Mytilus edulis: one gene and its partner. The protein of the gene in region 1 purifies or fractionates together with the protein of each later gene. This does not show direct contact. Links are inferred from orthologs where the notes say so. Each region holds a gene or a part of one and is shown on either strand. Other genes may lie near its edges. The genes, in order: F-box/LRR-repeat protein 4-like and BCL2/adenovirus E1B 19 kDa protein-interacting protein 3-like.

Evidence for each region.
Region 2: the proteins of F-box/LRR-repeat protein 4-like (region 1) and BCL2/adenovirus E1B 19 kDa protein-interacting protein 3-like purify together in Homo sapiens (affinity purification with western blotting; 4 studies listed by BioGRID, with this or other methods). This does not show direct contact. The link is inferred for Mytilus edulis from reciprocal best matches to the Homo sapiens genes FBXL4 and BNIP3.

Annotation. Positions count from the first base shown.
Region 1 is NC_092345.1:89,861,023-89,878,250, forward strand, and holds the start of F-box/LRR-repeat protein 4-like, read left to right. Parts: upstream 1-8,149; 5' UTR 8,150-8,178; coding exon 8,179-8,394; intron 8,395-10,974; coding exon 10,975-11,065; intron 11,066-15,475; coding exon 15,476-15,605; intron 15,606-16,398; coding exon 16,399-16,491; intron 16,492-16,771; coding exon 16,772-17,135; intron 17,136-17,228. UniProt on the Homo sapiens protein: Substrate-recognition component of the mitochondria-localized SCF-FBXL4 ubiquitin E3 ligase complex that plays a role in the restriction of mitophagy by controlling the degradation of BNIP3 and NIX mitophagy receptors.
Region 2 is NC_092347.1:47,100,696-47,117,955, reverse strand, and holds BCL2/adenovirus E1B 19 kDa protein-interacting protein 3-like, read left to right. Parts: upstream 1-7,697; 5' UTR 7,698-7,819; coding exon 7,820-7,844; intron 7,845-9,301; coding exon 9,302-9,452; intron 9,453-10,435; coding exon 10,436-10,490; intron 10,491-11,036; coding exon 11,037-11,104; intron 11,105-11,468; coding exon 11,469-11,615; intron 11,616-12,182; coding exon 12,183-12,240; 3' UTR 12,241-16,640; downstream 16,641-17,260. Other genes in the region: probable sodium/potassium/calcium exchanger CG1090, read right to left, coding at 7,197-7,311. UniProt on the Homo sapiens protein: Apoptosis-inducing protein that can overcome BCL2 suppression. May play a role in repartitioning calcium between the two major intracellular calcium stores in association with BCL2.

The DNA of each region.
Region 1 (17,228 bases):
TTTTATAACAATGTGTGTTTCAGCATAAGACTAATAATCCTGATGCATTGCAGTAAAATCATGAAAATACTAAGTAAATTAGAATCATATTCAAAACAGTGTGGCTGTGGCCATTGATTGACGACCTAGATTATCCCATTGACTGGGACAGATTATGTGAACGTTTGTCTTTAAAGACCACTGCTCACTATGTACTTGTTAAAGACACTTAAACTGTGGGGTCACCAAAGGTTCTCAACACCTAAGCTATTCGAAAAATTAATCAGGAATAACACGATGTTATGATTTATCTCAATAATATAAATCAAAACATAAAGGTTATTCCTGATTAATTTTTCGAATTATTTTATTATTGAAGGCGTTAAGAACCTTAGGTTACCCCACAGTTTAAATTTTATAATAAGTAAGACAAACGTTCACCTAATCTGTCCCAGTCAATGGGATAATTAAGGTTGTCAATCAATGGCCACAGCCACACTGTTTTGAATATGATTCTATAGTTATCACAAAGTTTATGATAATTTATGTAGAATATTTTCATGTAGCTATAGGAAACATCAGCAATCAAGTAAAGCCTCCTTGGCCTGACTGTGATTTATATTTGTTCCAGAATTCACTGCATTAATCTATCTAAATAAAAGTTTCAATATCGCCATTTGCAAGTAATGAGAAAGAATCATTATTAAGGGGGCGCACGGTTATAAATCACATTTTTTTTAGATAAAGGATTTCGCTACTTTTTTCTATAAATAAACTTTATCCTATACTTACCATAAAAATAAAAATAAAATATGGGGCCACCGTTCATTTAAGCTCACAATATCCCTTTGAAAGAAGCATGCATTTTTGTTAAGGTACTTATTTTCTGTTGAACTAATAGGAGAAAAAAAGGTAACATCCAAATAAAAAGAGAACTAAATTACAGAAATTGCTTAAAATTTTACAATAGTTTAGTTTAAGAACAGGTTATTAACAAAAAAAAATAATAAAAAATATAGGTCACCGATGATTTAAAAAAGATATTTCAATTCAAATGCAACATGTGCAAAAAAAATGACAATTTTTCACCAAAGGGAGATTATTTGGAACTTTTTCAATGATATAAACATTTTAAAAGTCATCTGGGACAAAAACTAATTGATTTTTTGGTTGATTTTTGTACCATATCATAAAGTAACAACTAACAGTGTAAAAAATAAAATTTGTAATGAAAAAAAAAATGTTTGCTGAATTTTTTTAACCCTCGAGCCTCCTTAAAACCTTTTGTGGTAGTAACAAGTACAGGGTAATAGAATATATGTAATATACTTAAAAACCATCAAATTAAAGTAGTTAAATCTATTAATATCTTGCTTTTTGCATAGATCAGATAACCGTGGTGAATACAATTACATAATCATATTTTTGGAAAATCAAACAACCAAATAATATATTCTTGCACATACAATGACATAGGGGTAAAGCTAAATATTATTGTCTAAGTTTATAGGCTTTATAAACAACATCAGTGTAAACATTAGGAAGTGATATCTTGTTTTTTATAAGAACACTACAGGTAACAGCAAATTTTCGGGCGATATCTTTTTGCGCCAAAAAGTAACTCATTTGCGCCACAACTTAATTGCGCCAATACCTCTTTTGCGCCACCTAATTTTCAAAACTATAGGTATCATTTGCGCCAATAAAATAATCATCTAATTGCGCCAATTTTAATATTTTTATCTATATATAACAACGAAATGATTGACTAGGTACCAACAGCAAAAAATTCCTCTGACATTGTACACTGAAATTTCAAATTAGCCTCCGCATCCTAATAAAATTATACCGCTTTCTGGATCGTTACACAATACAAAGTCATCATCTTTGTTTGTAACAACACCAATATCATCCAATATTCTGTGAAATTCTGCTCGATTTTTATATTAAGCCGGACGCAGTTTTCTTCTCTCTATATATACATACTAGACTGACACACATATTTTAAATCTTTCTTTTCTAAATTTTCTTCTTCAATTTTGAAGATCTCTGAATTTATTATTTTTGAAGGTCGCTCTGACAACACATTGGTTGCTTTTCTTTTACACGCAGTTCTCAAAATATGACGTTCTAATTTCTGGACACTGATAACGAAAATATGATATTTTATACTGACAAAATCTGCTATGAAATTTTAATAAAGCCAAAATGTATTTTATACTCGTGATAGTTGACTTGTATTTGCATTATAATTTTAAGAAAAAATATATATTATAGTCTCTCAAAACTCTTTATAGAGTGGCTCTTGTTGTTAACTAGTGTTTTGAAAAGCTGTATATTTTATATGTTACAAGTGGCGAGACTTTAATAAAGTATTTGTCTTGTCTTGTCTTGATATAGGTAAAACATGTACAGGTATGATATAAGTAAAAAAATATTAACAGGTAAATGTGGCGCAATTTCATTTCATTTATTGGCGCAATTAATACCATCATAATAAAAAAGAGTGGCGCAATAAATACCTTTTCAAAACTGCAATTGGCGCAAATTGATTCTGCCCAAATTTTCTAACCAAATCTGTAATGCTAACAAAGAATTTGGTAAAGATTATAATTAATTTGTGGTTATGAAAACCAAGACTTAATAATTTATCAGTTATACATAAATAATGTTCATTTATATCTAAAACACGACTGCAGACACAGGCATAGTGAACAAGTTGTGAAATATACACAACATAAGAAAGTAACATCTTTGTCAAAAAATTTGTAAGGGTTCCACGAAACCCAGTGTCTTGCCTACTTTATGAATCTAATAAATGTTTTAAGAACTTTAACTACAGACTGTATGTAATGTTAACTGGAAGAAAAACTAAGTCCATATATAAGTAACATATGGAAAAACTGGAAATATATTTTAACAAAATTTCGTTCTAGATACTAGCTTTTGATTATAAACAAGCTTCTGTCCAAGTTTGGTAGAAATCCAGGATAGTTTATGAAAGTTTTTAAAATTTTAAAAAACTTTAACCACAGAGTGAATGTTATGTAAACTTGCAGAAAAACTAAGTCCATTTATAAGTAAAACTTGGATAAACAGGATTTTTTTCTACACAAAATTATATCTGGATACTATCTTATGATCAAAAACAAGATTCTGTCCATGTTTTGTAGGAATCAAGGATAGTTTAAGAAAGTTTTTAAAATTTTAAAAACTTTAACAACAGAGTGAATATTTGTGTACGACCTAGAAGACGATGCCGACAACGAAATGTAGGATCGCTTTGTCTCGCTTTTTCGACAAAAGTTGATTGGTAACAAAAAAGGAAAATTAACAATCAAGGAACCAACATACTTCTCAATTGTTTTGTTATATAGCATGTGTAGAGTTTCCTGTGTGAAATTGGATATCCTTTAAATAGTGCAACTATTGTTGGCTGTATTAGATTTAATCAAAATAAGTTTCTTTTGGTATATTTCAGCTGTAAAATGTAAAATGTAAGAATTCTAAGCAAAAATATCATCAATGTAACAGAAAACATTTTTAAATGTAGTGTTTTTAAAAGTTTCAATATAGTTTAGACAGATCTTTTACTGAATTTGGCCATCAACTGAGATTTATTACAACACAAGAACAAGTCTATTATTAAAGAGGCTCAAGTAGTTCCCATAGGAATACCTTAAACCTGTTGATTAACATTATTCCTAGAAAGTACATAAATGTTGTCATAATGAAAATTTACAGCTTTAATCATTTGATTACAGACATTTTAAAGTATCATTTATTAAATAAGAGAAATTCTGTTTAATAAGATTGTGTGGTAGAGTAGTATACATAGTTAAAAAATTATAACTGTCAACTGAATTGAATGGACCATCAAAAGCACATAATTTGTTTAAAACTTCCAAAGAGTTTTGACAAGTTCAAAAATAAATCAAAGCTTTCTCAAAATCAATAAAGAGCAGTAATCCAAAAATATTGTTCTCTTCTATATACTGTAAAATATCATGAATCAATCAAATGCTATCCCTTATATAATAATCCAATATCTATTTCATAAAGATCCAAAGACCAAAACTTAAGTAATTGTTCATAAACCAAGAAACCCTTGTTTTTCCCCCTTTTTTTGCCCCTAATTCCTAAACAGTTTGAGCCAATCCTATCCATCCCTTTGTGGTATGGAAACTTTTGGTACAATTTCAGAGAGATCCACACACTGTTTCACAAGTGTAACTTGAAAAACATATTAAAAGAAGGGAAATAACTCTAAGTTTATACAAAGTGTTTCAAATACACAGATAATAATGATTGTTTGCCTGAGTTAAAGGGTGTTAATCAATAGAATTCCTGACACCCTATGTCATGTATGTGTTAATTTTTAATAAAATATCTATATCATTTTCTAAATGGATGTTTATTATCTTATGGAAACCAAACTGAGAAAATAAAAACAAATAAGAAAGAATATCCAAATTGGGAGATCAATTTTTGTCATTGTTAAAACAATAAGTTTATAAAAAAGAAGATGTTTGAAATACAAAACAAAGTAATCAGATATTGATTAATTTTAACATTCAAGAAGAATATTAATTGCTTATTATTATTTCTTTGATGAACATAAGTTTTAATTATGCTTTAGTCAATATTTTCTGAAGATCAAGATCATGTAAAAATACAGCACCTAAGCTGAATTCAAGCAGATACAAACATACATTGGATAGTGTTGTATAATCATATATTTATGTTGTAACCTCTATGGAATAATTACTTTAAGGAGGCTCGAGGGTATAAAAATTTCAGAAAAAAATAAACATTTGTTTTTCACTACAAATTTTATTTATTACTTTTTGTAGTTGTTACTTTATCATATGGTACAAAAATCATTCAAAACAATCAATTCGTGTTGGCCCCAGATGACATTTAAAATGTGTACATCATTGAAAAAGTTCCAAATTATCTCCCTTTGGTGGAAAAATGCTTTTTTTTGGCTTTAAAATTGAAATATCTTTTTTAACTCATCGGTGACATATATTTTTTAATATAATTTCCATATAAGCTGTACTTAAACTAAATTATTGTAAAATTTGAGAGATTTCTGTAATAAATTTCTTTTTTTATTTCGATATTACCTATATTTCTCCTATTACTTCAACCACCTTTACAAAAATGTATGCTTCTTTCGAAGGCAGATTGTGAGCGCAAATGAACGGTGATCCCACTTTTTTATTTTAATTTTCTATTAACTATAAGATAAAGTTCATTTATAGAAAAATATAGAGAAATCCTATATAAATGATTTAGACCCGCGAACCCCCTTAAGTACATGAAGTATTGATCATATGTCTTTACAAGGACACATGATGGACAATACGTCCTATGGACAATGTGGTGGTATTGCAGACACCTATATATATGAATGTCATGGAAATGTGATTGGCCCGTCTTCAAAGCGCTATTGTTACATTCCTAATTAATTGGTTCCTAAACCAATCCAGCATTCTGGTTATAATACTGAGCGTCCAACAAAAATAATCTTTTTTTGTTATTATTACATTACTATATGCTGATGTATATGTACATATATAATCAAGCCAGTACTAGTCAGAAGTCGCAAGCAAGTAATCATACTAAACCTTAAATTATTTTTTTTCTATCACTGTTCCTTACATGTCTCTCTTACAGGGGGTGGGTAGTCCACAATATAGGAAAAAGTAAAATCACAAAATACTGAACTCTGAGGAAAAGTCAAAACGGCAAGTCGCTATAATCAAATGGCAAAATCAAATGATGAAACACATCAAACAATGGACAACAACTGTCATATTCCTGACTTGGTACAGGCATTTTCAAATGTAGAAAATGGTGGATTCACAGAAAGTCAATCAAAGAGCAGATTGATCTGAGGGATACGATTGCCATTGCTTTCATTGATACATGTATTAGTATTTAGTATTATTTTCAAAAATAATTCAACTGCACATGTAAAATGCTTGTAAAATGTAATTTACGTAAACTGAATAGTTATTCAACTTTAAAAATAGCCAATCCTTGATACAAGTTTATGAACAATGTAATTATTGTTATATTTTTGTACTATAAATTCCAAGTTTACTTTCCACAGCAGTCACTGAAAGTGAGAGAAGGTATTTCACTTTGTACCTTATCACCTATTTCATTTGTATTTTCCTACGTGAATTCTAGGTGGAACCCCATTCCTAACATTTTAAATATTTAATTTCCTTTGGGTCAGTGGGCATGAGTCCTTTCCATACACATTCCTCTGTTTAAATTGCGATCGGTTTTAATATAATACGTCTATCGACAGAACAACAAAAAATTGAAGTTTTGAACGACCTTGACCATTGTTGACTTGTTATACAGCCCTAGCTTGCACGATCGGTAACCGACAGAACGAGTTAACCCTCATTAGCAGACAGACATAGAAAGGATCTTGTGAGTTTCAAATTAATCAATGGAGTGGGGAATCTAGAGCAACCACTCAATCTGATACCCCTTCAAGTCAAGAAAACTATATGCATGCACATACCTAAACAAACCCTAGACTTGTGATTTGTAGCAAGGATGTATATTAAATGTTAATTAAACGACCTCCATTTCTTTATGGAAGTACAATATCAAATATCAGTTTCATAACGGTGACATATAAGAAAACTCCACTTCAGTTCTTATATGACAGAAATAGATTTTATCGATCGGAATTAAGAAAACTCTTGCATGTTATCAAAACTGGGGAATTCCCTCTGATGTGTTTCTAAATTTATAAAAACACTAAATATAAATACTGCTTAATTCTGATTTTCCGTGTTGTAAAAAACATGCATACAAGTCAAGGGAAATATCGAAACATGAAGATTATGAGAAGAACATTAGAGGACAGTTGTTTAAATTCAATCCTTTTGTTTTTTATACCATTTAAAGCATGACAATCTCAAGAATCTGAGATGTTCCTTGATGTTTAGAATAAAACGGTTGATGTGAGGGCATGACCCTGAGTCAATGGTATAAGTCTACAGATTGCTTAAAAGCAATCGTATCCCAAAAAAAGGTACTTCAATACCTCATAGTTATTTGGACTAGACACACATACACAAGGGCGCATATCATAGACCTATATATAAAAAAAGAAGATGTGGTATGATTGCCAATGAGACAACTCTCCACAAGAAACCAAACTAACGCAGGAATTAACAACTATAGGTCACTGTATGGCCTTCAACAATGAGCAATGCCCATACCACATAGTCTGTTATAAAAGGCCCTGAAATGACTGTAAACAAGAAAAACTAACGGTCTTATTTATGTTCAATAATTAAATGAAAAACAAATAAGTAACACATAACAAACCACAACCACTGAATTGCTGGCGGCCTGACTTTGGACAGGCACATACAAATAGATTGTGGCAGGGTTTAAATTAACATTTTAGCGTGTCACAGAATACAAGTTCCTTTATAATATAAGTTCCAAATGGAAACAATAGTCTGGAATTTTATTTCCACTGGAATAAATATTACAGTAAATGCTCCTAATGGAATAAATGGTATAGAATATTTGTTCCAAAAGGAACATATATATATACGTTGACAACCGGGATCATGTTTAGGGGTAAATATATGCCAACCTTTTTACATAATGTATAATGCCCACCAGTTGACGGGCATACAGTGATATATTTCTACCCTGAAAACATGTATGATAGGTACATACCCCTGTGGACAAGGGAGGGGTACATGTATCTCATTGCAAATATTGTACAATATAAAGTCCTTGATCATTGACTTCTCCTGTATATTCTATTTCATGACAAGATTAAATAAGCCAATAAAACTTGTGAAATTTGCATTGTAGACCTACAAAATAATAAAACTTGATATTTTGTTAGGCCCAAAAATACTCTCCAAAAATAACACTCTTTCCAGACAAATTTTCAGAAAAATTAGGTCTTTCATCCCGTATGCCAGTTTCAATTATAATAGTGTTTCTATCGGCCTTATCTTGGAAATTTCGTTTTTACGATGTTTTTCCTTTGATTAAAACGTTAATAATATTCATTATTATCTAAATTGAATAATTTAATATTGATGTATTATTGTATGATATAATATTACACATGATCGGACGACACTAATGAATTTAGCTATTCAGTTTCGCTTTCACTTTTCATTTCTAATTTTAGAAATGGCTGACAATGCACTTGCCAGAGATAAAATAACAGAAACACACAAGCCAGGCAGTACATCAAAGGCAGTTTTAATTTCAAGATTTTCAAAGGAAGTGACTGATTTCAGCAGTCAGTATGGTAGTGAAACAAGTATATCTTACACAGTCAGCAACCTAGCAGGAAGGAGTAACATATTTCCTGCTTATGGAGATTTTACACAGGCTGCTGTTTTCGTAAGATTTCCAGATATTAGTTGAACGTTTAATCATTTAAATTAGATTGAAATAATTTCATAAAATTCTTTTATGAAAATTTATAGGGTATGGAAACTTGGTGTTTTTATAGGACCTTCATATTGACAATTTTTGAGAGAAAACATTTTACAAATGTACATGATGCAATTTACAAAGTTTTTAGTGGAAGAAGACGTCAAGTCTTCTGAAGACTTAAGGGGCTGACCATTGGCATTGAGTCTCCGTATGCCGCATTCATTTCGTGTATTACAATTTCAAAACAACTTAGATTCCTGACACCGATTTTTACACATGATTAGGCATCTGAATCATTTAATTTGTAAATTATGATTGTAAAACAATCACTATCGTAAATATGACCCTTTTATTTATGTAAATTATTAGATTTCATCTCATCCACATGAACGTTATTTGTTTACTTGTAACAGGATGTTTTAACTGTAGATATTTGTATTACGCATGCGTGAATTTGGTATCGGGACAACTCGCCCTGTTTACAAGTTCGCCCTTGAAGTTACGAATTTGCAATCCTGCAGACAAGAAGATTTTGTTTTTATATAAATAAAAAGGATATATAAAGTGTTGTCTTTATTCATGGTTTTCCTTTGTCATGTGAATTAGATGCCCTTCGTAACATACATGTGAACCTCCCGTTTAGGAGAAAAAACTCCCGTGTATGAAATTTTTCAGACGCCATATTTGATCATTTCTTACTACTGTACGGGTGTAATTGACACCTGTGTTAAATTTTACCTGAACATCAAAGAAGATGTATAATTATAAGGCTTCACTTGACAGCTTGGGTGTCAAACATACTGGTAATCAACGATGTTTACCTCCGGCTAACTGCCGTTGTGTTATCAAAACGATGTGTATTGGGCATATTGAAATATTTTTTTGTTACTTCCCTTTGTTTTATCCTGTTTTCAGTTATTTTGCTTTTAAAAATGTAAATTGTAAAAAGACTATAAATGATTAAGATTTTAATCAAATAATCATAAACATGATAAAGGGATGTTGATTAAATGAATTTAAATGATTTTGGACAAATAAAAAAATTAAAATTTATAAATTATTTTAGCAATCTAGACCTCCTTTCAAGGATTAAATTGAAGTTTATATCATAATTTTGTTTACAACAGAATATTTTCTTAATTAATTTACGATGTTGCAAATATACATGTGGAGCTTATTTCTTTCTTATTTGTCTATACATTTACAAATGATAAGGAGATGAAGACATGAACAAAAATATATACAGATAAGATATATAAATATAATGATTCATTTGCTAGCAGTGAACAATCATTTGTCAAAAACAAAACAAAACAAGAAACAGATTCTTCTTATTATTTTATTTTATTCAAATAGAGAGGCAATAATGGAACTATAAACATTACAATTTGATGGAAATTTGAAGAAAAAACACAATTTCTACATCATTTGGTTACATTTATGACAAAATTTATGTCGATAAAAAAACATGATGTTTTGACCATTCAGTACTTAACCCTTTCCTCCATAATGACGCTTTTTGACGCCACCCCCTTTACTCCATAATGACGCCTTTTGACACCTGTGTAGTACCTCAGTTGAAACACTTTGACTACAAAGTGTCTGCAGTAGACTCAATAAAATTTGTATCCAATATGAAAAGGAATATCATAGGAATATTCTACTTAAATTTATTTAATGAAATATTTGTTTTTTGCAATGCATTTTAATACTTTAAAGCCTATTTTCAGCATTTATTGAAAAATTCTATTTTGTGTTCATTTTTTACAGTGGGTTGTGATGATCTTCCAGTTAGGTTACCCTCATTTGGAGTGTTGTTCCCAACCTGTTAAAGGTCCATCTTTGTGCATAATTCAAAATTGGAAATTTCAACAACATGAACAAGCATCTAATATTCTTAATCTGGAAAATAAACCCTGGTCTGCTAGCTTCATGTATATTTTTTCTACCGATTTAATATATAACTAGAATCATGCAAACAGACTTAAGGAAAAGGCATGTAAGTTCATCATACAAATATGACACTTTTTCTAGACAATCCAGATCTTGCAAAATACGTCGCTAAAAATTGTAACCTTTAAAATTGTTGTGCAGTAAAAACCCATATGGGAACTTTCAAAAGTTGGCAGGTATGTAACAAGTCTTACTATTTTTATGCTCCATTTATGGGCAATATGTGTTCTAGTCTGTCCGTCCGTCCTGCTTCTGGTTATAAAGTTTATGGTCGAGGTAGTTTTTGATGAAGTTGAAATCCAATCAACTTGAAACTTAGTACACATGTGTTCCTCTTGATATGATCTTCTTAATTACTGCCAAATTAAAGATTTTACCTAATTTTCATAGTCAACTGAACATAGAAAATGATTGTACGGATGGGAAATCCATGTACTTATGACCTTTTCTTGTTTGAAGAAAAAAAATACATTTTAACGATAATGGAACAAAGCAGCCTGGGTAAGTGGGGCTGCTTTTATGGTTATTCAAGTTACCTTTTATTCACCTTCTTCCACTTCAGAGCTATCAGCTCTTTGATTTCTTTTACAGAGAACATACGGACCATGGTGGAAGAATGTAACATCTTCACCTCGTAAATTCAAGAGAACACCACCTAACTTCATAAGTGATGATTATGTTGGTAAGATAACATTCAAAATAGTTTTAGAGTGGAGTCTATTTGACCAAGGATTTGTATAGTTAGATCTTACTATACAAATCCTTGATTTGACTACCAAAATCTATGGGAAAAACAAACCTTCTCATTTATTATTAAATTTAATGGACACATATGATAACAGAAAAATTTGGTCAGCATTTCTCAATTTTTGGGATACGATTGCTTTTAAGCAATCTGTAGACTTATGGCAGATTCCAAAAAGAAAAGAAAATTTCCGTCAAAAAGAACAAATTAAGAAAAATAATACTTACTGTTATTTGAATGATAATATGTGAATGTTTTATTGAATAGTAATGTTATATAAAGCAAGCAAACCAATTATTGGATATGATTGTTTCCATTAAAAGTAGAAATGATCACAACAAGTTGAAAAATGTGAAATGTTTGACGGAAATTACTTCCCATTTTTTGACACAAGGTTCATGTTTTACGAGGCTTTAAGTTGACACTGGTATAATGGTTTTTATTAGTGTAGTCTGATTATTCAAACATCTCTGTTTCCAAATCTTTTGCTTTTCTTTTGTTAAAAACATCTGTGATATGTATTTTTTCAATTTCTAATACCTTACTTAGGTAGCTACCATTTGATTTTTATGGGGGGGGGGGGGGGGGGGGGGAGGGGGGGGGGGGGGCTAGGATGAAAATTTTTGTACATTTGTACATTATACATACACATTTTGGATCTTTCAATTTACTTTATTTAATCAATAGTTTTATCAAATCTGTTGCTAACATAATTTCTGTCAAACTTGTCATTTTATGTTAGCAACGTTTGGATGTGCTACAAATTAGAGTTATCTGTCCTGGGTTAAAATCTTTTTAAATTTCAGGCATCGGTATTTTGCAGGAGTTCTTAATATGACTTTCAACTAGGATAAGAGCTCCAATGTTGGTTAAAAATCTCAAATATATATTGTCCGTCAAATTTATTTATGTTAGCACAATCTTATGTTAGCAACAAGTCCGTCAACATCTTATGTTAGCAACACTATTTAGTCCGTCAAATTTTATGTTAGCAACAATAATGTCTGTCAAATTTAATGTTAGCAACAAAAAAGTATGTCAAATATTATGTTAGCAACAAAAAAGTCTTTCAAATGTTATGTTAGCAACAAAAAAGTCCGTCAAATATTATGTTAGCAACAATAAAGTCCGTCAATTTTTATGTTAGCAACAACTTAATTTCTGTCAAATCTTATGTTAGCAGCATTGCATATGTCTGTCAAATTTTATGTTAGCAACTCCAAGATAATCCGTTTTAAAAGTTATTCCAATTCCTTTTTTATTGGTGCAGATGTTCAGAAATGTTTTATTCCAATTTGCCTTTCATGTTAAATCAAGATAAACATCTAAACCTTGAAAATACTGAAAATATCAAGATTTTTTGTGTTGCTAACATAAGAATTTTCCGTCAAAATGTCTGTCAATTTTGTTATGATAGCAACATTTTTTTAAGGTGGTCTTTATTTAAAAAATATAATGTGAATAGATCTATTTTTGGTCAAAAAGTGTTTACTTATATAAGTATAACATGTATTCCAAAACAGAACTTCATTGGTGTTGATATTGTTAAACATAATTTTGGGAACTTTTCAACTTTCTTATTTGGAATCTGCCTTATACCATTGACTCAGGGCCATGCCCTCACATCAACCGTTTTATTCTAAACATCAAGGAACATCTCAGATACTTGAGATTGTCTTGCTTTAAATGGTATAAAAAACAAAAGGATTGAATTTAAACAACTGTCCTATTATCAATGTTCTTCTCATAATCTTCATGTTTTGATATTTCCCTTGACTTGTATGGATGTCTTTTACAACACGGAAAATCAGAATTAAGCAGTATTTATATTTAGTGTTTTTATAAATTTAGAAACACCTAAGGGGTATCAGATTGAATGGTTGCTCTGGATTCCCCACTCCATTGATTAATTTGAAACTCACGAGATCCTTTCTATGTCTGTCTGCTATCAGCTGCTGCTATTGAGGGTTATTGTTGTTGCATAATTTTAAATCATGATGCATCATTTTAATTAAAATAAATGTAGTTCACAACGTAAAGGTGTAACTAGAACACCCCTTCAGCCAAAATGAGGTCTTCCATATTATCGCGTCGAGAAAAATTAACTCGTTCTGTCGATAGACATCGTATTATATTAAAACCGATCGCAATATAAACAAAGGAATCTAAACGGAAAGGAGTCCTGCCCACTGACCCAAAGGAAATTAAATATTTAAAGAGTTAGGAATGGAGTTCCACCTAGAATTCACGTAGGAAAATACAAATGAAATAGGTGATAAGGTACGAAGTAAAATACTTTCTCTCACTCTCAGTGACTGCTGTGGAAAGTTAACTTGGAATTGATAGTACAAAACTAAAACACAATAATTATAAGTACATTGTTCATACACTTGTATCGAGGATTGGCTATTTATAAAGTTGAATAACTATTCAGATTACGTAAATTACATTTTACGAGAATTTTACACGTGCAGCTGAATTATTTTTGAAAATAATACTAATACATGTATCAATGAAAGCAATGGCAATCGTATCCCTCAGAGCAATCTGCTCTTTGATTAATGTTTAGACCTCAAACTTGCATTATATCATGTTTATAAAACATAAGTAACAAATTATCAGAGATTGTTTTCATGTAGTCCATTATTTCAAACTGCTTGATAATTTTTATCAAAATCTTGTTTATAGCTGTCAAGATTAGCTTAAGGTAACACGATACCGAATGGCATATCTCCCGATTTCCAAATTTTTTGGCATACGTGTACTTTGAATCGAGTTACATCGGAATATGTAATAAAAAATGGGGGTCACCATTTTTGTTTTTTTGTAATTTTCATAGGAAAACATCAATTTTGGCGACAAATTTACTTAGGTATATAGGGGAAATGCCTTTTTTTCGGCTTACCTTTTTAGATTTTCGAATGGATGGCTATTTTCTTATATACGGAGAAAAACGAAAAACTAACATAATATCCAGGATTGCATAGTGAATCCAGACACGTATAGAAACTCATATGTCACCATGCTTGTTTTTGAAATAAATGGCTTCAAAGTTGATCGATAGGCCTAGAATTTGACCAAAAACGTGTGACGTTATGGTGTACGGAATATAACGTTATTTCTTCTCAGAGAATGGAGAAAAACATATGTGTCGGGATCTGAATGAGTATATTTTATTTTCATTTCCCCTGTCGACTGTCGTAAAGTTCCTAGTAATGCAATATAAAATTCTACTGAATCAGATATAATTTTATTTCGTCCTTCACATGGAATTTCACTTATATGAATTAATATCAATATCGTCCGATTTTCACATCAAACGAGCATATACTTGAAACTTGCGTGAACAGGTTCCATGTGAATCTTATGATAATAGTTCATGCATAAATCACCGGAATTTTGTACACGTTAAATTCACGTAAATATTTCAAATAAAATTATTTAAATAATATCTTTGTTCTAAAATTTGATTAAAACCATAAAAAATACCTTCAGATTTTTGTTAAGTTTACGTGAAAATTAAATGAAACATTTCACGTGAGATTTATCCGAATTACTGATTTTAAACTCCATCATATTAGACAATGGTAGTATCATCACTGCATCCCATGATGCAGAAATATGGTATTTAAAAAAATTTGATTCATTTAACAGTTTTTTAATTACTCGGTGTGATGGTTGTTTAACGTTCAGTGGCAAATAGTTCATGCATGTTCGGGACGATACACTACAATTTTGAAAACAGTTGTTTATAAAAGACACATTTGATGCACCAGTCAAAAAAGATTAAACATTCTGTTATTTGTGAAAATAATGATCATGATAAAATACACATTCCAAAAAATAAAACAACAAAACTCCAAGAAAAAATCAAAACGAAAAAATCCCTTATCAAATGACGAAATTAAAAGCTGAAAAACATCAAAAGAATGATAAACAGCTGTCATATTCTTGACTTGGTACATACAATACATGTAGTATACTGTACTCTGCGTGGTGTAAATGTATCAAAGTAATACTTTTTAAAGATTAACAATGAACAGAATGATGGCTGGAAAACGACAAAACAATCTATGTCAAATAACCGCTACGTATTGCATCAAAACTCTCGGCACTCTGCACATAGGGAAAGTTACCGTTAAAAATGCCACACAAAACCCGCTGCATTGGCTTATATGTGTGAACGTTATTCGATAACGTCAGGAACGATAACTCATGGCGTAACGTCATTCGGTATCGTGTTACCTTAAGTGGTTGTCTCAATGCTATAGTAATTGTCAGTGGGTTTTTTTGTGCTCATTAATACAGTTATCAGTTAACATGGTTTATATCTTTTCTGTTTTTCAGAATTGAGTTTTGATTTAGATGTTTATCCATGTAAGATTGAAGTTTGGGAAACTTATAATCCTGGATCAGTAGTGAGAATCTTAGCTTGTGATACAGCTTCAGGGACTGATGTAGATGATGGCAGAGTTAGGTAACATACTATTGGAATTATATAGTGTACATGGTCCAATCAGGGACTTTCTATAGAATTAACTATCCCTGTACCAATACATTTCTCATAAACCTTCAATACACTCTAAATGAACCTGCAATGATTTTTTTCTAGAATTAAATGATTGCTATTATAAAAGTAACATATAAGATGGTCTTGATTCATTGGATTTTCAGAATAATCATGATAATGGGTAAAAAGATAAACAGCTGTAAAAAAGAGCAAAAAAAGAAAATAATAGAAAATAATGAACTGCTATTTTGTTCTGTATTGAAATAAAAAAAAATATTTCTAACAAAAATTGCACCATTTGAATGCTTGGTTATACTTCTTTATGTTGCTCTTACTTGACCAAGTTCCAGGATTTCAGACCAAAGAGTAGGTTACAAGTCCTAAAACGTAAATTCTTGAGTCAAACGTCAGTAATATGAAAAAAGTCTGTAGTCTGCCAGAATGGACAGGAAACTGGTTTATTTTGACAGGGTCCAGTTTTCTTTTAATTGGCTGTTATTTTAAATGTATAAATTCAAATTATAAGCCAATTTTGGATGTTGACTCCAATTTCACAGTTAACAAGACCAAATGACACAGAAATTAACAACTATAGCATACAAAAATGCCTTCAAAGATGAGAAAAGACCCAGAAGGATCAAATGTAAAACAATTTAAACAAGAAAACTAATAACCTAATGTATGTACAAAATAATGAATGGGAAAAAAATATGTAGCACAGCAACAAATGACAACCACTGAATTACAGTTTTTGTTTTAGATGGCAAGTGTTGTGGGAAGGCCAACCAGAGAAATGTCCTGATAAATCCAGAATATTTTCTCCAACATTGAGAGAACCATTGTTTAAAACAAGGTGAGTTTATAGATCATATGTGTCCTATAAATTACTTGTACTTTCTACGAGTCTCAAGTTGATATACTTTTTTTTTAGACAGACTGTATTTATACTGAATGTCAGTAGAAACCTACATGTATTTTCATTCAATGAAAATTCTAATTTATAGATCTTTGAAAGTTCATTAATAAAGAATCAATGCTTTGTTATTGTACCCATTAGCAGTTACCTCATAGAAATAAGTTTAGGTGTATATGACCTTGATAACGTCCTTTATTATATATATTTTATATTTCAGCTTGATAAGGTTAGAATTGTGTTCTACACTGTGTCATTACTACACAGAATTAGATTGTGTCTGTATGTATGGTACATTAAATCCATGTTCTGACATGCAGGCCATTCTTAAACAAGCTCCATCATTTGAGGTGAAAGATTGTAGTGATGCTGATGAAATTGTATCACAGACACTGAAGTATATCAATACACTATCTGTGTCATCTCATCAGGAAAGTCTGGATGAAAACAAGGATCCTGGACATTTGCCAAGAGAGACTACTGATGTAAAACAAGAGCAAGTTACTCCAACAGAAGTTACAAACGATGAGACTTTTTTTGAAGAAGATCCTGAAATGGGAAATGGATACTTTGATGATTTACCAGTGAGTTAAATGGGTTAACATTTTGGGTGTTTACTAATTTTAGTTTAAAATCATTTAACATATATTGCACATAAACTTAAATTTGAAGAACTT
Region 2 (17,260 bases), on another chromosome or scaffold:
AACTATAATCCTCCAATCTTTAAGTTTTTTAAAGCTGTATCACTGTATGGATGGGCCCTTTTATGCAACTGTAAGATATATATATATTTGTACTGTTTTGTCCACCTATGCAAATCACATTTATTTCTCACATATCTTAGACATGTTTGAATGATAAACACTAAAGTACACCTTTTTTCTTTAGTATTGATTTTATAATAATAGATGTTATTTTTCAAGATTAATTTATTACAATTCAATCCAGAAAATTAAATAAAATAAATGAAATCTTAAAGTACACAGATTACATCAGATGTTTTGTCTAAAGATTCTGATCGATTAATTCTTTGTACAAACATACAACAACATATCAATCACTTTCTTTTCATAATCAGTAATGACATTTTATGACAGCATTTATCAAATTTCTAATTTTAAAACCAGGTTTTATTTTTTACTTGATCATTACTAAAAACACTATCTGGTTTAAACCAAATCTCAAATGCGGTTAGAAGAAAAAAACACATGGATAACAAAGTAACACAGAACAGAAACACCCAAAATCTTGAAGCAGATAGTTTATCTGATAAAAGTCCATTCATTAATTCAACCCAAAACAGTGATTTCTACCCATAGAATCATCTGATACCAAAACAACGGACAATTCCAAAGCGGAACAGGATTAATGCTGACAAACCTGATTTGTAAAGCCTGGCCAATATAAAATCAATGCTAAGTGCATGAACTCTATTAATAATCTATCTTGAAAATTTTGTTCTACGCTAGTACTATCCTGAACTTATTTCACAAATATAAAATGTACTGAAAACCTCTTTTTTCGATAAAAGGGTTGCATTATTTTTTATTTGTATTATTTATTGACCAATTTATTATTTTGTATACTTTATTTTGTTGCTCTTGTTGCTCACAATGTGTGTCTGAGTGTATTTATAAACTTGTCTATTGTTTAAATATCCTGAAAAGAGAGTAATTTTGTCATTTAATTCACTATTTGAAGCCCTAATATAAGATAAAATGTTATCAAAGAGCTAGATGAAAATCAGTTGCAGAAAATAAACCTACTTGTGGCGATGATGAGTTTTATTACAAAGACAATGATTCTGCTAAGTATAGTTTAAAATAATTATCTTCTTTTTGTTCAGTAGCAGTGATGCAATCAATAATTAACACAAGATAGAGCCATATATATTTACTAAAGGAAGATTACCATAGACATGTTTGTTCATAAATCTACCGAAAACTAAGTATCTAATGATCCAAAAATCAACTCCTGAATTGGCTGATGAAGTCTTGTTTTGATTAGGTACAATGTACATGGATTTTTTTACAAATGTGATATCACAGATTGAACATTTGCATCACATTTTCTAAGCAGCTACAAATCACAATGTTGTCCCTTTAAAGACCCTAATATCAGAATTTTGCACAGTAATCTTAACATCAAAATTTAGGACGAACAGAAGCCTCTTGCTGCTCAAAGATTGAAATATCAGTTCATGAGCCATATTGTCCTAATTTAGGCAACCTAGACAGAGGATGTAGTCATATAATAATTATTTAGCTATTTAGATAAATGAGACAAGTGAAACATTTATGCTTAGTTTCTAGTAATATTTAATAAACAATTGTGTAAATAGATATAGGAAGATGTGGTATGAGTGCCAATGAGACAACTCTCCATCCAACTAACAATTTTTAAAAAAGTAAACCATTATAGGTCAATGTACGGCCTACAACACGGAGCCTTGGCTCACACCGAAAACAACAAGCTATAAAGGGGCCCAAAATTACTAGTGTAAAAACATTCAAACGGGAAAACCAACGGTCTAATATATATAAAATAAAAAAACGAGAAACGAGAAACATGTATAAATTACATAAACAAACGACAACTACTGTACATCAGATTCCTGACTTAGGACAGGTGCAAACATTTGCAGCGGGATTAAACGTTTTAATGGATCCAAACCTTCTCCCTTTTTCTGAAACAATAGCATAAAATCACAAGCTTGGTTTAAGTGAACCTACTGTACATTTGTATCTCAGCAAAACAACACATTTAGGAAATGTATTGATGAAATATGTTTAAAGTAAAATTTGTAAGGTTGAAGTATCAAGTCAAAATTACTACTTCTTGACAGTAAATTCATACTCTGGTATTCATCAAGTCAAAAATAATAATCTATTATTACACAGTAATATTTCACTTGTGATGAGGGCTAACCCAGTAGACACTTAAGAATGATCATTTAATCACATGTAGCCCCATGCTACATATTAAAATCATATGACCACTTGATAGATCACTTAGTGACAAAACAATACTGAATATAATATAGAGAGATGTGGTCACCTACAACAACAAACTTCATCAGTTTCAAGGAGGATGTCATTAGGATATACTAAACTTATATAATTATGTTTGATAGATTATTTGATTTACCGGTACATGCATTTGGTGATAATAATATGTTGATGATGTATGATGATGTACAAAATTTTAAATCACATGCAACTTTTAAAATTAAAAAAAAAAAACACTTATTTTTTTTTACTTCTAAAGACATCAAAAAGACCTCCAAATCAACTGCCTTCAAAAACCATAAAAAATTTCTAATAAACTTTTAAAATAATTTTTTTTGTCAGACATTGAATTTCATAAACATGATATCATTATATAACATAAATGACAGGACTGTCACAGGAGAGAAGCAATCTTTATACAATGCACATGTCTTAGAGCCTAATCACTCACAAAGCATCTATATATAATACTGATTAAATTGGTTGTAAGTAATTTCTTTGACTAGTCACTAAATCAAGTCTGGTGGTTTTATAAGTACATTGTATTTTAGGAGTACTTTATCATATGTTAGTTAAAATACAATTTTCAGCTTTACGACCCGATCGATCAGATCAAAATGTTCAAAAATCAATTAAAACACATAGATAACTTAAAAAGAAAACATCCATGTAAAATCTTCTGGTAAAGTGAGCAGAAATGGTTCTATTGATGTTTAATGTCTTCAAGTAAATAAATACAATATACAATTAAGACAAATACAGTCTTGAATATACATGTCATATAAGAAATGAGCTAACAATCTGCAGCTGTGACATCTAAGAAGGCATTCAGCCTTAAATGCATGTCCTTAAGATTTGATCTCACAACATTATGTAATAATTCATTTTTTCAAAACCAACGGAAATACTAATTCTATGTTAATAAATTCAATAAATATATATAATAAAATAAACTACTGCATTTGATAAACTATGTGCTCAGGTACAAAAGACCAACCCTGGATACATGTACCTTGTCATACATGGTCACTATTTTGTGTCTGTCGCTGCTTAAAGTTTTTTTTAGGTTCATGGACAAGTACGTTGAAATTTTGTTCTGCTAACTGTTTGAGCAAAAAGATTTAAACATCTGGATGTAACTGAAAGCTCCCATAGACAAAGCTACCAAATATTGCATTATCATAAATCGTTGCAAAATTTGTATCTAACTAAAATGTTATTTCTCATCAAATCCATCCAAATTATACAATTGTAAGATGAGTTGATTATAAGACTTAAGCTTGTTAAATGTCATGTAGCATATATTTCATGCATTTTCAGAACTGAAAGAGCTTACTTTTAAGTAATTAAAAAAAAGGAAACCCTGAATTTCAGTTGATGATATGTTTGGTCCTAGTTAAAATAAATTTGTCAGAAGTCAGCAGAAGAGTTGTATTTTCGTTCCCTGCTTTGATCATTTCAAAAATTTCATATTTAAAATTGCTATTCCCTCGGTGTTCTCTTATAATATAAGCATGATAAAGTTTTAAAATAATATATTGTAACAGAGGAAAGAAATGTAAAAACAATGTGTTGTTTATAAAACAATGTATAAAACCTTATAAAAAGAAAAAGAAAAATGTTTCTGGAGACCTGAATGCTTTGAAACTAGAAATGATGGAATGACAGATGGTAAAAAAGTAACACTGAATGCCCCTGTCGCCTATTATAAGTCGGGTCATAAAAACTTTAGATAAATATATTCTGGCAGAATCTGGGTAAAGCAAATTTGCATCATAGTAAATAACCTGATGCTAAAAATGTCTTTCTACAAAACTTTCTTTTTTATATTTTAATTCATTATCCATTTTTAACATTATAATATATTTAAAGTTATGATTTTTGTAGTTTAAAATAAAATGCCTCAATTATTACCAAAACCAGGCTATTATTTAAACTTGGAATTATTATTAATTATGGAATTTGCATAATTTCTTGTGCTTGAAATTTTTTAATAAATTCCATGTTTATTCTGTACTCTAGCACTTCTCAGAGCACTTAAATGTTCTGTGCTGTGTTATGAACCGCTCAAAACATTAAAATACCAAATAACATGGAATTTATTAAAAATTTCAAGCACAAGAAATTTTGCAAATTCCAAAATTAAAAATAATTCCAAGTTCAAATAATAGCCTGTTCAAAATGAAAAGTTTACATTATCTTATAATTATTGTTAAATTTATATGACAATTATACATTGACAATTTAAACACCAACCACAAACATGATGAGACTAAAATGTCCAGACTTATAAATAACTCCTTCATTTCAATGAAGTTTACATGTATGATGTACAAGCATATCAGATTTAAAGGACAGATCAATAGTCATATTACTCTATAATAATATTACAACATTTATTTTCCTTCATACATAAAATGGGACTCCAAAATGCACTTCTTAATGTGCAAAAAACTAACAGAAAAGACATAAAACGAAATATGTAAAGCAAAAACAATGTACATCTGTCAATAATAGACTACAAAAAATGCAAACATAAAACAGAAAACAAGAATGTATTAAAATAATATAGACACAGGTAACCCTAAATTACTAATTACACAAAATATCTTATATGAATATTAATGTAGTTATAATAATTTGTGAAGTATGCATATAACAGGTTAAATCTGGCAGTGGAATAACCTGCACACGCGAGCTGTCTTGGAGAATTTAATTTAATTCAATTTAAATATAAAATCATTAGCTGACATAGACCTTTAAAGAACAAATTGAGTTCATTGACTTGACTTTAATAAACCTCATTAATCATGACAAACATGTACAGCCATTGAGAATATAAAAATAAGAAGATGTGGTTTGATTGCCAATTAGACAAATTAACATCAAAGACCAAGGACATATATATCATGTATATCTTGTATATAAAAGTTAGAAATTATAGGTCATCCCGCAGTCTTTAGCAATATGCAAAACCCATACCCGAAAGCAAACTATACAAGGTTCCTACATAACAAATAAGTAACAAATTAATTCAAATAGAAAACTAATTGCCTGATTTAATTACAAAACAATGACAGAAAAAACAAATATGATTTTATACAATAACCAATGACAAGTACCGAATTACAACCTCTAGACTAAGGATAGCCGCATTCAAAATGTGGCAGGGTTAAACATGTCAGTCTTCACAATAAAATTTTGAATCCATAAGCCTGAAAACTGTATTAATTTACAAATAAATTAAGTTGGATTCTAGATCTGTTGGCTTTAATATAGAGAAGAATTTTCCAAGCCCAAAAGCAATTTTACAAGCTGAGGCTGGGTTGATGCTTAGCTATAGACCTCCATCTAATTTGGGTGTTATACCTAAAAGCTAGAATGTCACAAAAAACAGAAAAATTAAGCATCCAAGAAAAAAATATCAATCAGTACATGTACATTATACAATGGGTCAAGAGTAAATTAAAGATGTCATAAACAGTCTAACAGAGAAAAACAAGATGTTATGCCATGCCATTTATAGGTATATATAGACATATACAGAACTGTAAATTTACGTTCATAGCTGAATAGCAATAACTTTTTGTTATGCTTTTTGTCTTATTAAATGATAACATAAATCAAAGTCAAATACAATTTATGGGTACTTTGCAGAAACGAGCAGTGATTGCTTCCTATTAGGTTTTTTTTAAATTTGAAGACTTGTTACAGCTACTGATCTGGACATGGTCCCTTTCTATCGAATTCCAATGACCTTAAATTTACCGCTTACTTAATTCAGTCATTAGGTCAGTCAGTGGGATCCCAGCCCCCAACCCCCTATGAAAAGTTCTGAATCAGCCACTGTTAATGTTGATAATATTTAGTAAAAAGGAGCTGGAAATTATTTCAATTTCAACTGCATGTATAATTAAAACACTAGACTTAAAGCTATTAAAACAACTTGTTCATTTAGCATGTTTAGGGAAAAAGTGAAGCTTTGAAGTAAACAAATTTCAAAGGCATGCACATACAGTAAGTCAGTTGCCAGTATAATTGCTTACATCCACTTCATCTGAACTTTGTTGAATATATGTCTCATTGGCAATCATACAATATTTCCTTATATTTTTATAGCTTAACTTGTACATGTTGTAGGTTTGAATTTCTCATATACATGACCCATACATATGTTCCAAGTAACCAAAATGCAAATTGATAATTTTTAGTATTAAAACATACTTTAATGCATGTTTAATATTCTATTGTATGTCTTTCTTATATTGCAAAGGAGAATTAATTGTTCCAATTGAGATTTTACCTACTCATAGACGATTTTAAATTTTATCAGATCCCTAACATTCCTTAAAAAAAAATTGGAAACAAATTTTGTCAACTGAAATTTTTCAAAAAAAAAAAATTCTGGAAGTATATAAATATTATAAATGAATATCGAAACAACATGTACCTGGGTCTGAAACATGTCTATTAGTCCCATCATGTTCCCAAATATGGGTTACTACATGTACATTCAATCTAAATAATTCAAGTTCATCTATTTATTTGTTATGCATATAATTTAATGTGTTGCAGATATGTACTGAATTGAGATCTTATACCCCATCATAGGAATATCCTAAAATTGTAAGGTTTTTAATTCATACTAAAGTATTAGTCTCTTTAGTTTCTGCACTTTAATTTGACATGACTGAATGTAAATGTCATGCACAGATTTGAAGGAGTGAAGAACTAGAACTGTATATTATTCCAAAACTTGACTGCATTTGCTTTGATTAGTTTCTTACTCATTATTTTTTTCTCCAAAATAATGCTTGTAGATTTCAAACAGAATGTGATATTGCACAAAACATATACCTTAATTGTTATTCTATAGCAATACATGTACTTACTGCTTGTGTTCCAGTCTATCTCATCTTCAATGACTTTATTATTCTTCCAGAGTGTCAGAGAGATCATGGCTAAACCAAACAGAGAAAATTTGACAAATGCTGATGTTTTACCCATCTCGAATGGTTTCTTTCGTTTAATTTACTCTAAAACATCACATCGTATCTAAATGAAAGGATATTATGTCAGGTTTCCAGGTATCAAGTTTGACACATGTGTTGTAAATCCATATTTGGGTGATTCCAAATTTTGATATCACAGGGTTAACAGCATATGATTTTGTAAATCAAATAGAGGAATTTTTATGAATTAAATTTATTAGGTCATGTTTTCATCTTTAAATCATCTTAACCTAACAGGATAATGAAGTTATATTGCCTTTTAGAGGCCACATGCATTATTGGCGAAAGTGAAAGTATCGATATGGAATGATCTTATCCTTTCGTGTGCATATATTTTCTATTGTTGGATTATTTCCCTTAGCTATTATCAATGTAATTTGTTACGGGAAGTTGATGAAGGTGGAGCAAGTCAGTTTCCTTTCGGAGCTTTTATTAATTAATACCACGTGACTGGTGACGTATACGTAAATAAACGAAAAGCAAAACATCAACAAAGAAGTATCATGTCATCGACACAAAAAATTGAAGGTATATTTTGTAACGGGAAGTATTGCTTCATTGCGAAATTGTAAATACAGTTAAATAAGATAAAAATATGGAACAGAGTACGAATTTAATTAGGAAGCAGGTGCGCGGAAATGTCAGAAAGGAACAAATAATTGATGACATCAATAACTGTCGATCGAACAGTTGAAAATCATTAATCTTGACCTACTTTTGTTTCTTTTTCTGTTACATGATATTTTTGATCTAAATTTTCTTCATCTGAAGCTTTCTTTTGTTGTTGTAAATTGTATAAATCTTGACAGGTGCTTGTGAAGGTACGTGACTACCCTCAGATACACTGTACGAGTTCATTGTCATTTTCAATGAATTCATGCAACATTAGTGCGTAAATGGGTTTGTATATTAATAAAAACAATAAATAGAATAGCTTTGATAATAAATGTCAAATACTTTAACAAGAAACAGAAATCTGTGAGAAGTTCATTTTGTACATGTAAGACATCTGACCAAAAGAATCCTCACAAGAGTCAAAACTGGGGAAAAGAAAGTGATTAACAATGATTTTACATTTATGATTTTTCTTTCCTGCTGACTTTTAAAATGCAATATACACAACTAGAAAAAAAATCATGAAAAATAAAATGCATGCTTTCTTTTGACCAAAAGACAATATAGAAAATGTTGCTGTCATGCTAATCTCTGTTGGGATTTTCTGATTTGTCTGCCCTCATCAGAGGTTACTGTCATGCATGCAGAAACTGTACATGCACATTATTATGTAGATGTTTAGAAAAGGTATTGCTAGCAACATCAATATGTGTACTGTGTATTTAAAACTGCATTGTATTTTTGGATTTTGTTCATCTAACAATTCCAATACATAATATAATGCTTGCATCACAGCTGAAGATTGACCAATCAGATAATTAGATTGTGTTTATCTATTTGCATATTGGAGTTGAAACGGTGGCAAATCCTCAGGTTTTATCATATATGCATGTAGTACACATGGTACACAAACTTAAAACTCAATTTATTATTTGTCGAATCATTAAAATTAAATTTGAGATTGTTTTTTCAAATCTCCTTATCATATTAGACATGTGTTTAATAAATCTTTGTGATATCTTTTACCGTTTAGTTTTAAATTGGAATTCAAAATTGTATTTTCCCATAGAGTTTGAGGTATGAATCAGGAATTGAAAAAAAATTGTGTTCATCCTCTCTATTTATTTCAATTGTAATATAACTTGAAAGAACAAAATTGTACTGTAAGTAAAAGAGCCTTAATTCAAGGACATCATAATTTAATTGAACTTGTTAAATTGTCTACAAATCTTGCTTTCAATGGGACAAATAAAAAGAAAGTGAGGATGAAAGTTGTCTTCCTTTGTATATTTACTTTTACATGGCTTTTGGAATAGTGAACACAACACATCAAAAAGTACCAACGAAAATTAACAAAATTTGTCTTCTAGATTCATGGATAGAACTTAGTGGTGGAGTTACACCACCAGTTGAAGCACAATCCATATACAATGGTAACTTAGAAAAGTTATTGATCGAGGCCCAAAGAGAATCTAGATCATCATCAAGACCAAACAGTAAAGAATCATCAGCCAGGGGCAGGTAACTAAGAAAATAACATGTTCTTATGTATGAGTTTGTTTCCATTGCATACTAGAAAAAGCAATTATTCACAATTTGTACAAGTATTTCAAACAAGCATAATGTACATGCATCATCACTGACATGTATTCTTTATCACATTTGTCATCAATGATGAGGATTAGATTTTGGTTAGAAATAAAAAGACCTTTAAAAATAAAGCGGTGTAGGAAAAATGTCCATGTGACAGTTCTCCAATAACAAAAGATACACAAAATATATGAATAAAGGTCACTATATGATTATATCTGGACAAGCATTGCTATTTTGTCAAATCATTTTATATACCAACAAGATGGAACAGAAATTAATATACATTTTACATGTTACAAATGTACATTAGATAACACATGGTGATGTGAAAGAACCATATCCAATTGCAAGTAACATAAATTTGTTGTTTTAAATTACATTTAAATTTATGCGATGTATAGAGAGTAATTATATGTTATTTAATATAAAAAAGAAGATGTGGTATGATTGACATATACATGTATATTAAAAAAAAATGACATATATTGATAATGCTGATTATTTTTTTCATTTAAATTTACACATGTTTGTTAAATGAAAAAAATTCTAGATTACATCGTAAATGAATAAATAAAGATCTACTAAATTTATTTAACAGAAACAAACCTGGATAAATAAAAAAGATAGAAGCTTTGTATACTGCTTCCTCTTCTGATAACACATTTATACTAAACAGTTTTTGCATGGAAATCACATTGAAAATGCAGAAATTATTGCTTTTTTATACATAATCGGCATACATTGTACAATGTATGTCAAGGAAAAAACCCAACCCAATAACACAATAAAAACCTAGAGGTCAACATATTCATGTACAGTCTAAAGTTCAACATAAATTGGCCTAAAAAAATCTAAAAAAAAAGTTTTGTAAAGTTATTGACTATTTTTAGTGTTGTTTATTTCTTTTTCAGCCCTAAAGGTCTGCACAGTCCTACAAATGAATTATCAAATGCTGAATCTACACAGGTACATGTACATACTGAACTACACACTTTATTTTAATTTCATAATAAACAAGGAGATGTGGCATGAAGCCGCATGAGACAACCTTCCTCCAAAGTTCAAATGAAGTGGATGTAAACCTTTTCTTGAGCTTTTAATCAAGATATAATAGATTCCTGGAAAACGTTTATGAATTATTATTTTTATTGTATGATACCAGACCTGCCAACCCATAGGGTTGAGCAGAGAGGTGTGAACCTCAATTTAGAAATTCTTTGCAGGCATCCAAATGAAGGAAAAGGGTATTTAAGCACATAAATATGCATCTGCACTACATGAATATAGTAGTAGATTAAAAACACTTTGACAATATAAGAGGAGTATTAGGTCCTTGCACTTAAAATCCCCATAAAAATTTTGAAATGTTGGCAGGTATGTTATACACTTATCAATGCCATTCATTAAACTACTATTCTTCTTCTTTCTGCATTTAAACCATTACTATTTCTTTTTTATCAATTTGACAGCTTCTTTCTTGTTTTGTATAAAGAAGTGATTATTTTTTAATAGGAAAACCGAGATCCAGGTACAGACTGGATTTGGGACTGGTCCAGTAGACCTGAAGCCTTACCTCCAAGGTAAGTAAAAGTTAGATTGCACTTTAAACTTCAATTATGTCATATTGATATGTGCATATCATTTCTTTTTTTTTAATACATGTACCAGTAATTTATCATAAATGTATTTCTTTTCTTCATAGTTTTTTATCAGAAAATTAAGATTTGACATTTACAACTAGGCTTATTTTCATCCTTTGGAACCAATGTTTAGAAATTTCAGACTAATTAAGTAGCAGGAATTATAGTTATATTCATTATACTTGTCATACCTTACTTTTGAATGAATATATAACAACACTAAAGCTTGAAACATCATGAAAACTGAACTAACTTAATTTTTTGTTGTGTCTTCACTGTATAAATCATCCTTTTTTTTTTTTAGTGATTTGGGAGCACGTTTCAAGCATCCAAGAAAATCTGGATTTAGAAGTTCACAAATGATACGAAAAGAAGATGCTTACAGCTTGAAGTACATTATTATATCAAATGCCTGCTCCTTTGTTGTAGGAATTGGTCTTGCCAGTCTGGGGTAAGTTAATTGGATTACAGCAAATAAAAAATACTCTCAGTACAAAAGTACTGTGGTAATTTGAAAGGACTTGCAGTACGCGTATAAGTAAAACTTTACCATCCTAGTATAGATGTAATGATTAGAAACAACCATTCTGAGAGGACAAAAAGCTGTAACAAATAATTATTCAGTTATTCACACTGTACAAAGAACAGCAAAATATGTGCTTAAAACACCAAATCTAGTATTTTGATTGGTTGAATTCTGAGTGTGAATACTTTCTAGGTGCTCAAACTTTTGATGACCCCAAGACCTGGGGTTTAAAGTCATCAAACTTTGCTCAATGCTTGGAGCACAAAAATCATGCTCGAAACATGAAATCCATTTTGATTGGTTGATTTTAGAGTATGAGTACCAAAAACTGACTCAACAGTTTTATGACTTTAAGGCAAGGACTTTGGAAACACTAAAAAAAAGAACATATTATCTGTTCATTACTTCCTTCATTTCATGTTAAAGTTTCGATAAATATAAATCTTTTTCTTACTTCTTGTTTTGCATCAATATTGTTTTCTTTTCTTTCAGATTCTATTTTGTAATGAAGAGATACTGCAGATGTAGTAATTTAATGATCTCTAACTAATGGATAAGGACAAGATAATGGAACAAACGTATTTTTTATCGGAAGTCTTATTAAAAATCATAGTGATTATCTCTGATTCTGTATATGAGGGGAGATGATATTGAATTGGAATATTTTTGTACCATCATAATTTTTACCCCTCTTACTTACAAATGTATGCATATGAAATGATTTAAGATTTTTCTCAATTATTTAGATGCTTTTTGATTTCTGGTAAAATGTCTACAATATACAACAGTAAACACTGAAGCCAGCTTCAAGTTGTTTAACTGATTTTACTATGGCCAGTGGCTTTATGATTTTCAGTTCTTTAATTATTAATAAATACCGGTAGCTGTTATTTTATGCTTCCAGTTGTTTGATACTTATCACCTCACAATATAATACAAATGTTCTTGAATTATACAGATGCTACATGTTTTTGTATTTAAGAAAACTAAAAGCAGATTATTCCAATGTCAATGTCTGTTTGAAGAAGCCTCCTAGTTGCAAGCAATTGTAAAATCATTTTTATTTATTATAAAAAAAAATAGATGTTAATGAAACTATTTTTTGTACGTAAATGTATTTTAATAGATGATTTTAAACTTTTAAGAGCTGTGGAAAAAAATAATTGTTATAATGATTGTCTGTTAAGGAACATTTTAATTTTATTTGAATAGAAATTTGAAAAATATTATAAAAAGAAAATTATGACAATTTATTAGTTATAGTTGATATATATATATATCTCATAGGAAACTTAAAAGATGTAGATTTAAAAATGAATGTATATACTATGTATGTATTTTGTTGTAAACTGTATTCTTTCAATATAAGTAACATTTGACTGTGCACAAGTATGTTGACATTTCTCTTTATTGTTTTATAATCTGACTTTGGCAAACTTTTCTCATGTATACATTTATTAAAACATATATATGCAAAAATTTAAATAATACAGCTAAAATTACTTTAATAAGGTTCCAATTTTATCTCTTGTTTGATGTATATTCTTCCAAAGCCAAATTTTTGTAAAATCTTATTTAAATTATTCAGTTCTGATTTTCTGAGACCTTTACGTAGTTGGTTGTGGATATATCAAATTTTACAAATTTCAATTAGTATAAATTAAATAATGAAATTGATTGTTAATATAAAGTGTGTATCACCGTGCAATATGCAATCATTATTCATGTATGTATGTTAAAATTTTCAAATACCGTATAAAGTAAACTGCATTTTCATTATAGACAATTTTCACCTCTATGAGTAAAAAATATTTCAACAATTTTTGTAGGTATTTATATACAATGTTTCGATTCATAACTCCTTTTAACTCTTTATATGTTTCTGAAATACATGCAAATAAAGCAAAATAAATCTGCATGGGAATTTTTTTTTTTAAATTGTTAAAAAAAGAGGATTTTTTGTTAATAGTTAATAGAACAAATTACAAATAGGACAAACATGAGATTGTTTATTTAGTTTAGATTTTGGACTTCCTATTCCGGTGAAGAAGTTTAGAATGCTTTTCTAGGTTTCAATTCATATGCAAAAAATCTCACAATTACGAGTAATTTCATAATTTTTATAATACTATAAATTTTGTGTATATTGAAAAGTCCAGAAAATCTTGAGTCAAATCCTTGGTTGCATATTTTCTTTAGTAAACATAAAACTTCTACAAAGTAAAAACTTTTGCACAACAATCTCTAGAAAAACAGTATAAAAAAATATAGATTCACACATGATGCACAATGCTTAGGAGCAATCACTGCTTTTCCTCATTTTTGAAGCCAGCACAAATTAATTTGATATTTTTTAAATATTTAAATATATTTTATTTATATACCTTTCAAATTGTACTTCCTAAGTCATATGGAACTTGTTTGTATATTTTATGAAATTTTGAAATGATACATGTATTTACAGGAATTGTATTCATTGTTTTATAATGTTTAATTTTTTATTTTATATGATGTTTTCCTGTTACACTTACTGCTATGGTTGATTAAACACTTTTTATGCCCCACCTACGATAGTAGAGGGGCATTATGTTTTCTGGTCTGTGCGTCCTTCCGTCCGTCCGTTCGTTCGTCCGTCCGTCCGTCCGTCCGTTCGTTCGTCCGTCCGTCCGTCTGTCCCGCTTCAGGTTAAAGTTTTTGGTCATGGTAGTTTTTGATGAAGTTTAAGTCCAATCGACTTCAAACTTAGTACACATGTCCCCTATGATATGATCTTTCTAATTTTAATGCCAAATTAGAGTTTTTACCCCAATTTCACGGTCCACTGAACATGGAAAATGATAGTGCGAGTGGGGCATTCGTGTACTGAGGACACATTCTTGTTTTAAACAGTTTTAACTCAATTTATAAATATATTTAAGTTTGCTGTTTTATACTTTATATTAATTGTTTAGATATATATATCTGAAATATAATTGGTCTTAATTGTGACTGAGTTTTTTTTGCCTATCATTATTTCATGAAAAAATATTAAACTGATCAAATGTGTCAATATTGCAGTTAAGACAAAATGAACTGAAAAAATTACACACTTTTGTTATACTTAACAACAAAATATTGCCTTGTATTTAAAGAAATATTTTCTCATTTTTACAGTGTCACTTATATATTAAAAAGTTAACCCTTAAGTGTAAATTTGATTTTTGATTGAACATTCCTGAAATTCCACCAGAGAATGGAATGGATGGAATTTGTCCAGTATTTTATAATTCCATCATTAATCAAAATGATGTTTATTATAATCTTGTCAAACTTTATATGCAAATAGGGTGTTAATTCGGTGAGGCTTTTGAGAAAATAGTTTATTTTGGATAGCGTTTACAATAAATTTTTAAGATGCAGATAAGATGATTTTTAAAGTTAAAAAATAATGTTAGATAATATAACTGGGTTTGATGAACAACATCAAGAATATGATATTCTGTATGACTCAAAGGATATTTGATATGGGTATTTTATTGTGAAAGGTATTACCACTCTTATACAAAGATATATATATATTGCCCTCTCTCTATAACATTCTATTCTATGGACTTGGGGAAATGTGCTTAATTATATATGTCATCACTTTTTGCATGATCACACTAAATTTTTTCATCTTGACGGTTTGCTGAAGCAGAATGAACTAATTTGAATGATCACATAAATGAATAGATGAACATTTGATTATTTTCTAATCTGACTGTTGTTAGAATCTTGTTCTGTCAGTGTAACAAACTATTAGTGCGGTCACCATTGTTAATTTTATGATGTATACTAATTAATCACAAACTAGATTTTACTGTATGTGTAAGGTCTGTTTTTTTTCTCAATTGATTTATGAATTTTGAACAGCGTTATACTACTGTTGCCTTTATTAAAAGATGGAGGCTAGTAGAATTATTGTTGATTCTTTACTAAATATTATACAATTTTACCCTGAAATTCATTTTCCTTTGTATATAAATGGCATATCCTATATAACGAATTTTTAAATCAGTCTGACTTTGAATTAAAATAAGTAACTTTGATCGGTATGTAGGATAGTTAACATTGTTATGTGTTCATAAATGTGTATTACTGATCTGGAGCATTGATGTGAGAGTTGTCTTCCTTTTGATAATACTAATATTTACCCTACAAATAATTATTTAGATGTATAATCTCTAATTATAAGGCACATTTGGGTTTAGGAGACACTTATTTATTATTAGAAGTAGGAATTATTTTGCATTCAAAAATAAAATAATTTGGTAGCACTTTTAATCATGGATATCAATTTTCATGGTTTGTAGAAAAAACAAAGTTTTGTGGGTTCTTGAATGTGAAATTTCACCCTTTGATCAGCTCATTTAATGAGTGCAAAATATACATTTTGTTTGAATTAAAATTTCAAAGTTGGTTTTAATTCTAATGAAGTATGGAAACACATGTTGAGTTTTGATGTCCACAAAATCTATGAAAAGATGTCCTGATTATTTATTGCTATAAGTTATTCTTGTATGCTTGTAAATTTTTTAACTACAGTTTGGTGAAGGGTTTCAATGCACAAATTAACTCCATATTTTGAAGCTAAAACTAATATGTTAACTGATGTATTTTGAAATTTTTGATGGTTGAAAGGAAGGCCAATTTTTCACTCTTGCAAGTTGTGTAAATATTGTATGTGATAATTTTGACAGCATTATTGTTGATTGGCGGGTATGTAATTGTGATTTTGAAAATTATATCTGTTGTATCTTATTTTAAATAGCGTGAAAAGATCTGGAAAAGAGAAAGTTATGTAAAAATTTGTATTTTTCTTTTTATGGCTTCCACTTTTTCCACCTTTGACCTGTTAACATGACTTTGGTCTTATCTGCACAAGTGGAAGTATCATGTATAATTAGTGGAAAAAATAAAGATTTAGAAAACTGTTTTGTGATTCTTCATTGTAAATGTCATCAGATATGAATTAATTGAAATTTCCTGTAAGTGGTTGATTCTATTTAGAACAAAACTTTTATTTAAAAAAAAAAGCAAGATTACACACACAGTAATGACTTGCCTGCTTAATTTATCATGATTGAACATGTTGAAAGTTTGTTTTATGAAGATTTTACTGCACGTATCACATAAACTTTACATTATCAACAACCCAGGAAAATGAGGTCAAGGTTGGAGGAACCCGCCAGACAGACATGAACACTTTACATTTGATGAGACTGTTGTACTGTTGCGCTATAAAACCAGGTTCAATCCACCATTTTCTACATTTAAAAATGCCTGTACTAAGTCAGGAATAGGACACTGGTTGTCTATTGGTTTGATGTGTTTTATCATTTGATTTTGCCATGTGATTAGGTACTTTCCGATTGAATTTTCCTCGAGGTTTCAGTATTTTTTTGTGATTTTACTTTTTACAATCATTCCATACCTTTGATAATGTTAACCTAATGCTGATAGCATCTGAGAAACCGCACTAATTATAAGAACTAAACATTGACCAATGCACAAAGAATATGAATTTAAGGTCAGATGAACCAAGCAGACAA